Linked DNA regions of Saccharomyces cerevisiae S288C. The protein of the gene in region 3 binds, or shares a complex with, the protein of the main gene of each other region. Each region holds a gene or a part of one and is shown on either strand. Other genes may lie near its edges. The genes, in order: MRP10, RSM10, MRP4 and MRPS8.

Region 1 (2,564 bases), on a different chromosome or scaffold from region 3:
GACACACAGACCCATTTGGTGAAGCATTAAAGCCTATTCAAAGAACAGATTCTAACTGGCCTGATTTTATGAGGTTGCAACCTCTCTTACACTGGGACTTAACCAATATATGGAGTTTCTTACTGTATTCTAATGAGCCAATTTGTGGACTATATGGTAAAGGTTTCACATCAATCGGCGGAATTAACAACTCATTGCCTAACCCACACTTGAGAAAGGACTCCAATAATCCAGCCTTGCATTTTGAATGGGAAATCATTCATGCATTTGGCAAGGACGCAGAAGGCGAACGTAGTTCCGCTATAAACACGTCACCTATTTCCGTGGTGGATAAGGAAAGATTCAGCAAATACCATGACAATTACTATCCTGGCTGGTATTTGGTTGATGACACTTTAGAGAGAGCAGGCAGGATCAAGAATTAAGTACGGTTTAACGGAGGAAAGAAAATAAAATGCTGATGTTACTATTAGATTAAAAGTTTATATATTTTCCGTTGAGACTATTTAATTTGTATATACAAGGCCATGACTTTAATATTATCAAGTTTTCATTCTTGCTGCTTTTGGATATAAAATTAATCATGGGGTTTACCGTTGATCCTATCATACAGCCTAGCGGCGTGATAGTTAATATTGCTCTTTTGAACGTTGTTTCTTTTGCCGAGGGCACTTTCACTAGTGCAACTTTTCAATTCCGTTACTAAGCCAGCACATTTAGGGCTCATATGACCATATGAAGACCAGCATTGTAATAAGTTTGACATTAAAACAAGACATTTGTTCGCTTCTTGCCTAATGATAGGTTTCTTCACTTTTAGTCTGGGAAGAGGGGGTAATCTATAAACTGGTGGTTTTCCGGACATTAATGGGCACTCTTTATTTTAGATGGAAGTTTCGGCGAGCCCTCGTGTTGCTATGGTAAGACTTTTGTCTCACTTAAAGCCTCAAAGCTTTTATATTCTGCCTAAAATACTGGGAAAAGAATTAATATGTAAAGTCCGCATTACCCGGAGAACGAACCTGTCATCATATATAATAACCAAAGATGTGCGTAAGGGAGAAATTTTGCAATGAGATATCAATGTAATGACATGTTTTTAATACGTACACACTAAATAGATGATTTTTAATTAGAGGAAAGGAATGGAAAAGAAGTAGGTGTTGACAAAGGCGCTGAAGCATTGGCCGACAAAAAAATATTAAGAGTAACCACATTCGACTAGATGGTGGTTATAACAAAAAGAGGAAAAACCCTGCCTCGAACGGGTGAAGAGAACATGGGGTAAAAGAAAAGAATACATGGAACGAGAAGGGAAATAAACACGGATCAATGAGTTGTATGAATCAGATCACCTTGGTGGGAAGATGACTTCTCCGGTTAAGCAAGTGATCAGATCATCCTTTTCAGTGTAAGCTCTTGCTACAACAACATATTTGCCAGGTGGAACCTCGCCTGGGATCTCAACTATTTTCTTAATGTTGTATTCACCCGGTTCAATTGGACAGGATAAGCCTTCGATATCGTTATCTTCTAATGTTTCACACAAATCAAAAGTCTGGGATAACAGTCTGATGTATCCTAGACGGACTTCAACGTCGATATATGCCCCCTCTTCTATAGTTTCAAAGACCTCACCGTTAGCAGAAATAGTCAAATTTTCGCCACGAACAGGAGGGTTAGGGTCCAAATTGACCTCTTTGATTTCCACAAGTTGCTTGTCTAGAATGTCACATTGGTAAAGTGGAGATTCGCCGTTAATTGGTTTGGTGTTTGGTGGGGGAAGGGCGTTGAATATGCCAATCACACCCGCATTGACAGCAGCTGTGTAAAGAAATAGCAAGGCGAATAGAGCTTTCAAGCTGTGGGTCATTTTGGAAGGCGTGCTAGCTTTGAAGGAGAAGATTTAATATGGTTATGCTTTTCTGCCTTGGCGAATCAGCTCTTTAAGTAGCGCCAGTCTTTTATATTTCCCCTCCCGAGTGTTGATTAAAGTTTTTTTATTATCAGGGATTCCACCCTCTTTCAATAGATCCAAACCGTGGGAGGTGACGTTTCGGCACGATGAACGTAATAATTATTGTGATAATAATATAATGTAATATAACATAGTAGTATTATATATATATATATATATATATATAAATAGGAAAGAAAGGACAAGGACAAAAAGGAAAAGAAAACTGCAATTGTTGAATATGTAGTTACTAGTTCTCATTCCTTCTTTTTTTTTTTAATTTTTTATTTGGTCATTTTGACCATAGTAAATGGAATGCTCTTAGAATGTGCTTGTTGTGTATCGTATCGTAGCAAATGGCGTAATGAAAAAGTTTCTGATTTTTGTAGTCTTTTTTTTATTGTGAAAATTATTTTTATTCGTCGAGTTAGGGAGGGCATGCCGTCGTGTTATAAGAAATAGCCGGCTCTTTGATTATTATGGTTTGCCGTGGATTCTCTTATGTAGTCATCGGGAACAGCCGAGAAAATTTTGAAAGTAGGTTCCAGATCCTCATCGACCTTCATTACACTCGCGACATTACCACATCTATAACAGTAATTTGGCG
Region 2 (3,160 bases), on a different chromosome or scaffold from region 3:
TTTTCAGATTAGCGGAGTATATTGTATACAAACTCTCTGACCAGAAGTATCGGTTACACACATCCCTGAATGTCCAACATTTCAGGTGGAATTCGAAGAAGAATACAAACAGAAAAAGGACACTTTCCTTTAGCAAAGCTTACTTACCAAGAACAAATATACTACCGATTTTTGTAGCCGATGGACTAAAAAATAGATTCTCAGGCCCGCTACCTGGTAAGTCCTTGGAAAGCTTCCAGAAACTAAATTTATTGAGCGATAACAATATTAAGCGGTATGCAGTACCAGGAAACAAAGCAGTGAACACACTTTTATGGCAAGAGCAATACTCATAACGGGCCGCAATATTAGTACAAAATTGTTCATCATATAGTTAAAAAATATAATTAAACTTACTTATAAATTCAGTATAACCATTTAATCTACTACTTTTTGCCCCTCTTCTTCACCTATTTTATTTACAAGTACGAAATCTTTTCGGTCCCAAGAACCAGCGTAATTATAGGATTGCCATCATCTTTTTACTTCTTTTCCAAATGTTTTTTAAAATCGGGGCTATCCAATAGTTCCAATACTTTTTGTCCGACAGCACTAGTTTGAGCTTTATCATCGTTTCTCAGAGAATACAATTCATCGATATTGCTTAGTGATTTTTCGAGGCCATTGGCGTCCGAACCCAAGTCCAGCGATATTTCGGACCTTTGAAAGAAGTTACATTTCATTCCGACGCCTGCCATAGAGTGCTTCGTAATGTAAGCTATCAACATCTGTAGCACTTCGGGGTTCGTATCCCAGGCCCTAATGAGCCTCTTATGTGTATGTCTTTCAAAATTCTCTTTGGATTTAGCGTGCACGAAAGGTGATTTTATTACAGTCCACCTTTCTCTTCTCGTGGGCAAAGGTTTAGGACCTGTCAATGGGATACCCAAATAGTAACCTGTTCTAAGTATGAAGTCTGAATAAAAATCGAGGTTTTCATTGTCATACGATCTTAACTGAATGTCTGCAACTAAATCACCATATTTGATAGGTAACTTTAAAGGAGCATAGTAGACTGCCTCTACATTTACAGGATATGGGCGCGTCGACTGTGTTCTGATAAATGATCTTAATGCAATGGTATTTCTAAGCATTGGCCAATGTTTTTCCCCCTTTTCTGATTTTGCACGGTTCGCATAATTCTAATTTGTACCAAATAGTTTCATTTCATGCCCTTTCTTGCATTTTTTCCTTTTCAAAAGAAAATAGATGTACAGGTATTACCCGCCTGGTACATAGTTTGCTAACATTCTTGCCCAATCTCTCTGCTGTTAATAAAGGATGTGTGGATACATGACTAATTTCCGGATTAAACAGTGACGATAAGAAACGGTATGGCAAGAGTCAGAATTTGATAAGACTTCAGTAATATTGATTATCGGTCGAACTAAGCTACCCTCTTGGTTAAATTCTAATGACTACCAGTGTGGTCAATATTTTAGGGTTATCGGTGAACGATAACAAAATCCGTAATTGTTTCCTACGCTGGTTATTACTAAGTAGCCACTCGGTGGCTATCTCTAGCCGTTCATCAATCATGTCAAAAGTACAATCACTGAGCTTATTAAGTCATCCGCACGTGGAACTCACACAAGCCCCGAATTTTGTCAGCCATTCCGTGGAAAATCCTTTATCTCGTCACTCTTGTACGGAAGTTGCACCTTTAGCCCCACTCCCAGATCTTCAATCACAGAGGCAATGAGGGTGGCTGTGCAATGTAAACTTTCTTATCGCTTCCTGTTATGATTGATTACCATGCGCGGTAGAAGGATTGAATGAGGGGTGTGGGTGTGATAATTCATGTACGGACCCTTTCCTCCCAGAAGCTTCTGCACGAAGTGGTTACATTGTGAGTACAGGGTCTTAAACATCGCCGTGCGGCGTCATTTTGCGGGGCTCATCATTTATTTCCTACTTCTATGACGTTTGTTAGGGCAGGGATGTAGATTTTGGTCATATACTTTCACCTGACAGAAGAAAAAACAAGGTCTTAGAGCAGTATTCCCGAATTATTGCCTCTTTCCTTGGTGGGTGCGGGTTAATATTAGATGAACGGTGGGTTGTGGTCAAACCCGGGGTAGGTTTTAAAATGTCATGCGTTTTCGTCATTTACATAGATATATACAGGGAAAATATATATATATATATATATATATATATATACCTAAGGGAAACAATTTGAATAGATAAAAGGTCTTTTCCTCTTATTCCGTTCTTTCTTTTTAGAGTACTATTAATTTCTACTATTTCTCCTATCTTTCTTTTCTCATTAGTAATAGTCTAATCATTTATATTCTAATATTAACTTTAATAAAGCAGATATCTTCATCAAGTGAACTGTTCACACTTAATTCACATTTATTTGAGGCAACAATACGTATATTTACTAATTAAAGAAAAAACTTCGTACACAGAATTGAAAATTTTCGATGGGCGAAGGAACTACTAAGGAAAACAATAATGCAGAATTCAATGCTTATCACACGCTGACTGCAGAAGAAGCCGCTGAATTCATAGGCACAAGTCTAACTGAAGGTTTGACCCAAGATGAGTTCGTCCACAGATTGAAAACAGTGGGTGAGAACACATTGGGTGATGACACTAAAATTGATTACAAGGCAATGGTCCTCCATCAGGTATGTAATGCCATGATCATGGTCCTTCTAATATCCATGATAATCTCGTTTGCCATGCATGATTGGATTACTGGTGGCGTTATTTCTTTTGTTATCGCGGTCAATGTGCTCATTGGCCTAGTTCAAGAATATAAGGCTACCAAGACAATGAACTCTTTGAAAAACTTGAGCTCTCCCAATGCTCATGTTATTAGGAACGGGAAAAGTGAGACTATAAACTCAAAAGATGTGGTTCCAGGTGATATTTGTCTGGTGAAGGTCGGTGATACTATTCCTGCTGATTTGCGTTTAATTGAAACTAAGAATTTTGATACTGATGAATCACTACTGACCGGTGAATCTTTGCCTGTCTCCAAAGACGCCAACTTAGTGTTTGGAAAAGAAGAAGAAACCTCCGTGGGTGATCGTTTGAATTTAGCATTTTCTTCATCCGCCGTTGTCAAGGGAAGAGCCAAGGGTATTGTCATCAAGACAGCTTTGAATAG
Region 3 (3,460 bases):
GTCAGTCTTAACAGAATTCCGTCATGAAGGTAATTATGTGTTGAATTTTGCCACACAACAATACAAATGTTGGATTTCGTTGCCAATTGTATTTGTACTAATTGCTGCGTTACAATTAGTTAACCTGTATTGGCTGTTTTTAATTCTTAGAATCTTGTACAGATTGATATGGCAAGGTATCCAAAAGGACGAAAGAAGTGACAGTGATTCTGATGAGAGCGCTGAAAATGAAGAATCTAAGGAAAAGTGTGAATAAACGTATCTTAAGGAGAATACGTATCATCATATGATTTCCCCCCTGTATGAAGGCCAAGTTAACATGGTATAGCTCATAGTTGTTGTTATAAGAAGCATAAACCCAAGTACGAAAGTAATAATTCTGTAAAAAAAAAAAAAAATGCGTTTATTTAGCGTCTTCGGGTTGGCTATATATATATATTTAAGGATATATGGGCATATGTACAAGTTTAGGTTAACAAGCCAAAAGAAAATAAAAGTGTTCATTTTTCGTTATTTCTGGCCAAGCGATTTTGCAAGCCTCTTTGGCCAGCTCTCGCCAAGACTCCTAGTAAGAAATTGACAGATCTCAATGAATCATCGTTACCTGGGATAGGGTAGGTCACCAAAGAAGGTTCGGAGTCAGTATCGATGATTGCGATAGTTGGGACCCTTGATTTAATTGCTTCTAACAAAGCGTTTCTATTTTCTGTGGGATTTAATACGACCAGCAAGTCAGGCTTAACCTGCTTTGATGTTTCATTCGGTGATAACGCTCTTTCGGTGGGATTGTCATTAGAGTCGATTTCCTGCTTCTCCCAGATACCTGAAATTTCTGTAGAATTCGTCAAAGTACCCGGGATCCATCTGGTAGACACATAATAACCATGTGTCTTCTTAGCAGCTTCCTCGAGCCCTCTTTTCTGGCCTTGTCTTGTACCCAGAAATAGGATAATGCCACCGGATTCCGAAACGCCCTCTACTACCTTGGCGGCTCTCTTCAAATAGGACAAAGTTTGGTTTAGATCTATTATGTGAATACCTTTATATTCACCGTATATGTAGGATTGTGTGGAAGACCTCCAAAGTGAGGTAGACTGGCCCAAGTGAACACCAGCAGACATTAAGCTCTCAACAGTAATGTTTTCTGGGAGGGGCGGATAGAAAATGTCCTTATGAGGATAGTAAACCTTCGAAATAGTGGCACCCAATTTAGCGGTACGCATGGAATGGTTTAGTTGACGCAAGAAAAGTTCTTGAGAGGAATATGGTTTGTCATTGGCCGAAGGTATAAGGTTAGGGTAAGGCTTGGTTGGCGTGGCTGCTGCTGTCGTTGTAGAAGATTGTCCATCTAATGTCTTGCTGTCAAACAACTTGTTCAACAGAGCATAATTTCTGAAAAAGTCACTCAATTCAGCCTCCAGCTGCTGTTCTTTGTCAGAGAGTTTGTCTTGCTCTAATGACTTTTTCAACTCAGGTAATATTTCATCTTCTGGTACCTGAGATAGAGACTTCAATTCTGATCTAATTTCATCATACAAAAGTTTCTGTTGCAACAGCATCACCTCATCGTTATTGTTAGGGGTGTTGGCCGCACCGGATGCTGACGACTGAAACCTTTTGGTAAGGGAAGGGTTCCTCAATAAGGAAAGACGTCTGAAATTCCTCGCAAAAACGTGTCTCTGCATGAGAAAAGAGTCGTTTCTCACTTTTTATTTCTCGAATCACCTGTATTTGTGCCCCGCGATAATCAGGCTCTCGAGCGTATGTACACTTGCCAGAACTGATTATTATTTACCATCAAATATAGCAGTGACCTACGACATACAAATTTCATCTCTCGGATTCACTTACCGAATTGATTTTTTTCTTGCACTCTTTTCTGACCCGGCACGGCCTTTTCTTACCGAGATAAACAGGAAAATAGGGCAGTATGCGTGTGTTATACGTGAGAGAGAGCAAGCGGGTGAGTATTCGTTTCATTACAGTTTATGCATTAACATAAACGTATACATATTACACATACACATATACATAGATAGATACATATACGCATATATTAATGCTCAGGTGCAATAACGGGTGCAACAACAGCAGCAGCAGGATACAATATGCAGTTTGAAGAGCGGTTGCAACAGCTAGTAGAAAGCGATTGGAGCCTGGATCAGTCAAGCCCAAACGTACTGGTGATAGTCCTTGGAGACACTGCCAGGAAGTACGTAGAGTTAGGAGGACTGAAGGAGCACGTGACTACGAACACTGTGGCAGGTCACGTGGCAAGCCGGGAGCGGGTATCCGTAGTTTTTTTGGGCCGGGTAAAGTACTTATACATGTACCTCACCCGGATGCAAGCGCAGGCGAATGGTCCGCAATACTCTAATGTACTCGTCTATGGATTGTGGGATCTCACCGCGACACAAGATGGACCGCAACAGCTGCGGCTACTTAGCCTTGTGTTACGGCAGTGCCTCAGTCTGCCATCTAAAGTTGAATTCTATCCAGAACCGCCTTCTAGTAGCGTGCCTGCCCGGCTATTGCGATTCTGGGACCATATTATCAGATAGCTGCATTGTGTTACATGCGATATCGTAGAAGACGATAGAACGAAAAAGAAACGTTAATCTTTTTTTCCTTTTTTTTTCGATTAAAAAAAAAAAATTTTCGCCTCGTGGCCCGAAACACGGCCAAGAGAGGGAATTCGAAAGTCTACCGCTTTTGGCAGCTGAAAAATTCAGAAAGTCACCTGGCCAGAGAGGAAAAATACGAAACCAAAAAGAGGCATCCGTAAATTCGCATTAGCAACGCATGCTTACATAGATACTCACATACTACACACACTTACATACTTTCTTAAAGACATACATCCGTACGTACAATTAGAGCGAGGTAGCAAGCAACCCAAACTTCTTCCCTTCACTGCCTCACACCCCATCCTAAATATCCCACAAGATCCTCGACTAATACAAGAAATGAGCAATGATCCATCTGCTGTATCGGAACTACCAGACAAGGACAGTCTTGATAACGGTATCAGCAATGACAATGAAAGGGCCATGGGCGGCAATGGCGATGGCGGCGATGGATTACGATTACCAAGGACCACTGGAACTTTGAACGTCAATGCCTTACAAAAAGGCACTAATGCTGCCCATGAAGCTGGTGGATACAAATCCATGGATCCTGCGAAGAACGCGGAGACAACCAATGATGATGACAATAATGTCGTTTCACTAGATGATCCTATTCAATTTACCCGAGTATCTTCCTCCTCTGTCATCAGTGGAATGTCTTCATCCATGAGTCCTCATTCTAACATCGATGAAACCAAATCTCTAGAAGCAGTCACTCCAAACATAAATACCAGCAATATAACCCCGGATCATTCTGCTGACAACACATTTTCTACCATAAATGCGTCCGAGTCAGATCACCAGTTTAATGACACTTTACTATCAAAACTGTC
Region 4 (2,674 bases), on a different chromosome or scaffold from region 3:
ACCAGTATGTTATCATGTACGGTGTTAGATGATGACATAAGGTATGAGAAACTGTCATGGAAGTTAGACGAAGCTGAAATGCAAGGATTGATAATGTAATAACATAATGACACATATAAAACAGAGTGAAGAATAATCGTAGTACTATTATGTAGAAATATCAATTCCATTTTGAGGATTCAACCTAAAATTCATATGTTTTTCAATATTAAATATAAAGGAGCTAAGATTTGGCGTAGGATCTTCGTCTATAAATTTAGTTGCTGATAAATTATTCTCCATTGTTGCTTTTATTGAGTATTAAAGCATTTAATGCTAGAATCCTCCATAACAGACAGCTTCAGTAGCTCAGTAGGAAGAGCGTCAGTCTCATAATCTGAAGGTCGAGAGTTCGAACCTCCCCTGGAGCACATTTTTTTTCAAAACTTTTTATCACTGCTAGTAAAGGTAATGAATGAAGGACGTTACTGTAGTACTATACTCATCATCATTGTCTGCATTTTATAATATTATTATTTACATGGTCCGTATATTTTTTAATTACACGTATAAATACGGTCATATGTGATTGTTCTATTCATTTTACTCTGCATAGTACTTCTCCATCCAACTTTTTGGATATGGCTTCATTAATGTCCATAATGTTGTTATGAGCTCGAACTAGAATCAGTTCTCCTGGTTGTAGTGGTTTGATGTTTCTAATAGTTACGCCAGAGCATAGTTTCTTCATGTCTTCCATTGGCAGGTGTATTCTTGAATTTGGTTTGGAAATTAATTTGCAGCTGCTGAGGACAGGTTTGTTATCTCTATACTTCAATCCAACCCAAAGCCTTCTAGTAGAGATATTGTCTGGTGTTACTTCAACAAAATCTTTGTCTGGTCCCATAGTCGATCCCTTCTGTAAAGACGATAAGAACCCTTGTTGGTAAAGGTTATACGCAAACTGTAGCTGCAATTTCGTATATGGGATCGATGTTAAGGCAACTCTAACTTTCGAGCAGTTCTGTAAATGAGCACACGTATTCGCAAGTTTGACCAACGACATTTTGGGCGATTAGTTTAGATCGAAAAAAAGGTGTATGTGGTCGCTTCTTTGCCTTTGGCTTTCTTCTGTTTTTCCGTTCTTCTTCCTCAGTTTGTCGATTTAATTTCAAAAAGCGGTTTGTAAGGACTGCCGGTAAAGCTAAAATGAATGAATCCCCATAGGAAGATTAATACATAACGAGCCCAGATAAATAGACTACCTACATGTTGCGACCACTGAGAAAAAGCGTTCTAGCAAGCTGCCGACATTGTTTCAAGGTGTGCGGTGGGTTGCCTCAAAAGCAATTACCCTTATTTTCACCATTGCTCTTGAGAGCACGATACTCATCAACTGATAGCTCAACTAAAAGGTCTAACAAATCAGATAAAATAGATGCTCCAGGATTTAAGAAAATTTTCCTTGTTGCTATTATCGGTACAGTGATATTTGTCAAGACAGTACAGTCTTTAGATAAGAACAAACCGAAGACAACATTATCAGAAGAAGAATTCGAAAATGTGGTTAAAGGGTTGAAAAGACGTGTGGCTATCTTCCCACAAGGTGAGGTCGATATAAAGTTTTCCTTATCACCCAGCATTGAAGAAACTAGAAAGGTACTGCAGAAATCACAAGGCGATGATATAAATGAGCTGCAGTTTGTCGATCCAGTCAAGGTCATCGATTACTACAGAACCTTGAGGGATGATAGATATGAGGCTTTATTAAATGAATACTACAAAAAATACGGGTGTGACACGTACGCTTACAATTTGCCGACCGGTATGTTGGTCATGCTTTTGGGTAGATATTTCAAAGAGAACTTCAAGACCGGTGACAAGCTAGTAGTTGTGAACTTTCCTCATTCGATTGCTGATGCAACAAGATTTGAAAATGAGGTTTCTATAGTGTCTAAAATCTTTGTTCCGAGGAAATTGAGTGGCTCTGACGTCTGTAAATATTACGAAACTGTAGGTAAAGCTGATATCATCTGAGGATGTTTTCTTTTTTTTTTTTTTTTGGTTTCTTCTCCTTGTTAATAGCTTATATGTATATATATCTGGATATATGTCCTGAATATGCTGCTTATCTGTCATATAACATTCTCATTTTCTGTTCCCTTCATCTATGTGAATGAATTCTGTGCGTTTCTTTCGTTTCCCCTCTTTTGCGTATGGCTTTAAATCGATTTTAATCTGTAAAATCATCCCAAAATCAGATGGATAACATAGAAAACTGAACCGAAGGAAAGCCCATGTCCCACAAATTAACAATCCTGCCATTTCTGATTAAGTTCACGCCCAAGTTTCCACAATCCATTGATCACGACGAGCATGGTCTAAACGTTTATGCCTTTGATCTGGACCATACAATTATCAAACCAAAGTCCCCCAATATAAGTTTTAGTAGAAGCGCAAGTGATTGGCAGTTTATTAATTTTAACTCCAAGAAATCCACCCTGGATTACCTGTGTAATATCATTGATAATGATCCCACGGCCGTCATAGTCATATTTTCTAACCAAGGTGGTGTCATCACCGTCCCAAGAACTTCTAAAAGTTGCACCAAGTACACTAATAAAATTTTGCTATTTTTAAAGGCAATCAAAAACGATGAGAGAGGAGAAACGTTATCACACAGGTTATGGCTATA

Evidence for each region.
Region 1: MRP4 (region 3) and MRP10 share a complex: the UniProt entries of both Saccharomyces cerevisiae proteins name them as parts of the mitochondrial small ribosomal subunit.
Region 2: MRP4 (region 3) and RSM10 share a complex: the UniProt entries of both Saccharomyces cerevisiae proteins name them as parts of the mitochondrial small ribosomal subunit.
Region 4: MRP4 (region 3) and MRPS8 share a complex: the UniProt entries of both Saccharomyces cerevisiae proteins name them as parts of the mitochondrial small ribosomal subunit.

What each region holds. Positions count from the first base shown.
Region 1 is NC_001136.10:370,549-373,112, reverse strand, and holds MRP10 (mitochondrial 37S ribosomal protein mS37 MRP10), read right to left. Parts: upstream 866-2,564; coding exon 578-865; downstream 1-577. Other genes in the region: FAD1 (FMN adenylyltransferase), read left to right, coding at 1-425; NPC2 (sterol transporter), read right to left, coding at 1,352-1,873; type 2A-related serine/threonine-protein phosphatase SIT4, read right to left, coding at 2,407-2,564. UniProt on the Saccharomyces cerevisiae protein: Component of the mitochondrial ribosome (mitoribosome), a dedicated translation machinery responsible for the synthesis of mitochondrial genome-encoded proteins, including at least some of the essential transmembrane subunits of the mitochondrial respiratory chain.
Region 2 is NC_001136.10:537,776-540,935, reverse strand, and holds RSM10 (mitochondrial 37S ribosomal protein uS10m RSM10), read right to left. Parts: upstream 1,134-3,160; coding exon 522-1,133; downstream 1-521. Other genes in the region: YDR042C (uncharacterized protein), read left to right, coding at 1-335; Na(+)/Li(+)-exporting P-type ATPase ENA1, read left to right, coding at 2,469-3,160. UniProt on the Saccharomyces cerevisiae protein: Component of the mitochondrial ribosome (mitoribosome), a dedicated translation machinery responsible for the synthesis of mitochondrial genome-encoded proteins, including at least some of the essential transmembrane subunits of the mitochondrial respiratory chain.
Region 3 is NC_001140.6:97,444-100,903, reverse strand, and holds MRP4 (mitochondrial 37S ribosomal protein uS2m MRP4), read right to left. Parts: upstream 1,686-3,460; coding exon 501-1,685; downstream 1-500. Other genes in the region: sphingosine N-acyltransferase LAG1, read left to right, coding at 1-256; YHL005C (uncharacterized protein), read left to right, coding at 1,684-2,076; SHU1 (Shu1p), read left to right, coding at 2,109-2,561; mitogen-activated protein kinase kinase kinase kinase STE20, read left to right, coding at 2,967-3,460. UniProt on the Saccharomyces cerevisiae protein: Component of the mitochondrial ribosome (mitoribosome), a dedicated translation machinery responsible for the synthesis of mitochondrial genome-encoded proteins, including at least some of the essential transmembrane subunits of the mitochondrial respiratory chain.
Region 4 is NC_001145.3:570,619-573,292, reverse strand, and holds MRPS8 (mitochondrial 37S ribosomal protein uS8m MRPS8), read right to left. Parts: upstream 1,046-2,674; coding exon 578-1,045; downstream 1-577. Other genes in the region: YMR158C-A (uncharacterized protein), read left to right, coding at 1-99; AIM36 (Aim36p), read left to right, coding at 1,249-2,016; TPP1 (polynucleotide 3'-phosphatase), read left to right, coding at 2,277-2,674. UniProt on the Saccharomyces cerevisiae protein: Component of the mitochondrial ribosome (mitoribosome), a dedicated translation machinery responsible for the synthesis of mitochondrial genome-encoded proteins, including at least some of the essential transmembrane subunits of the mitochondrial respiratory chain.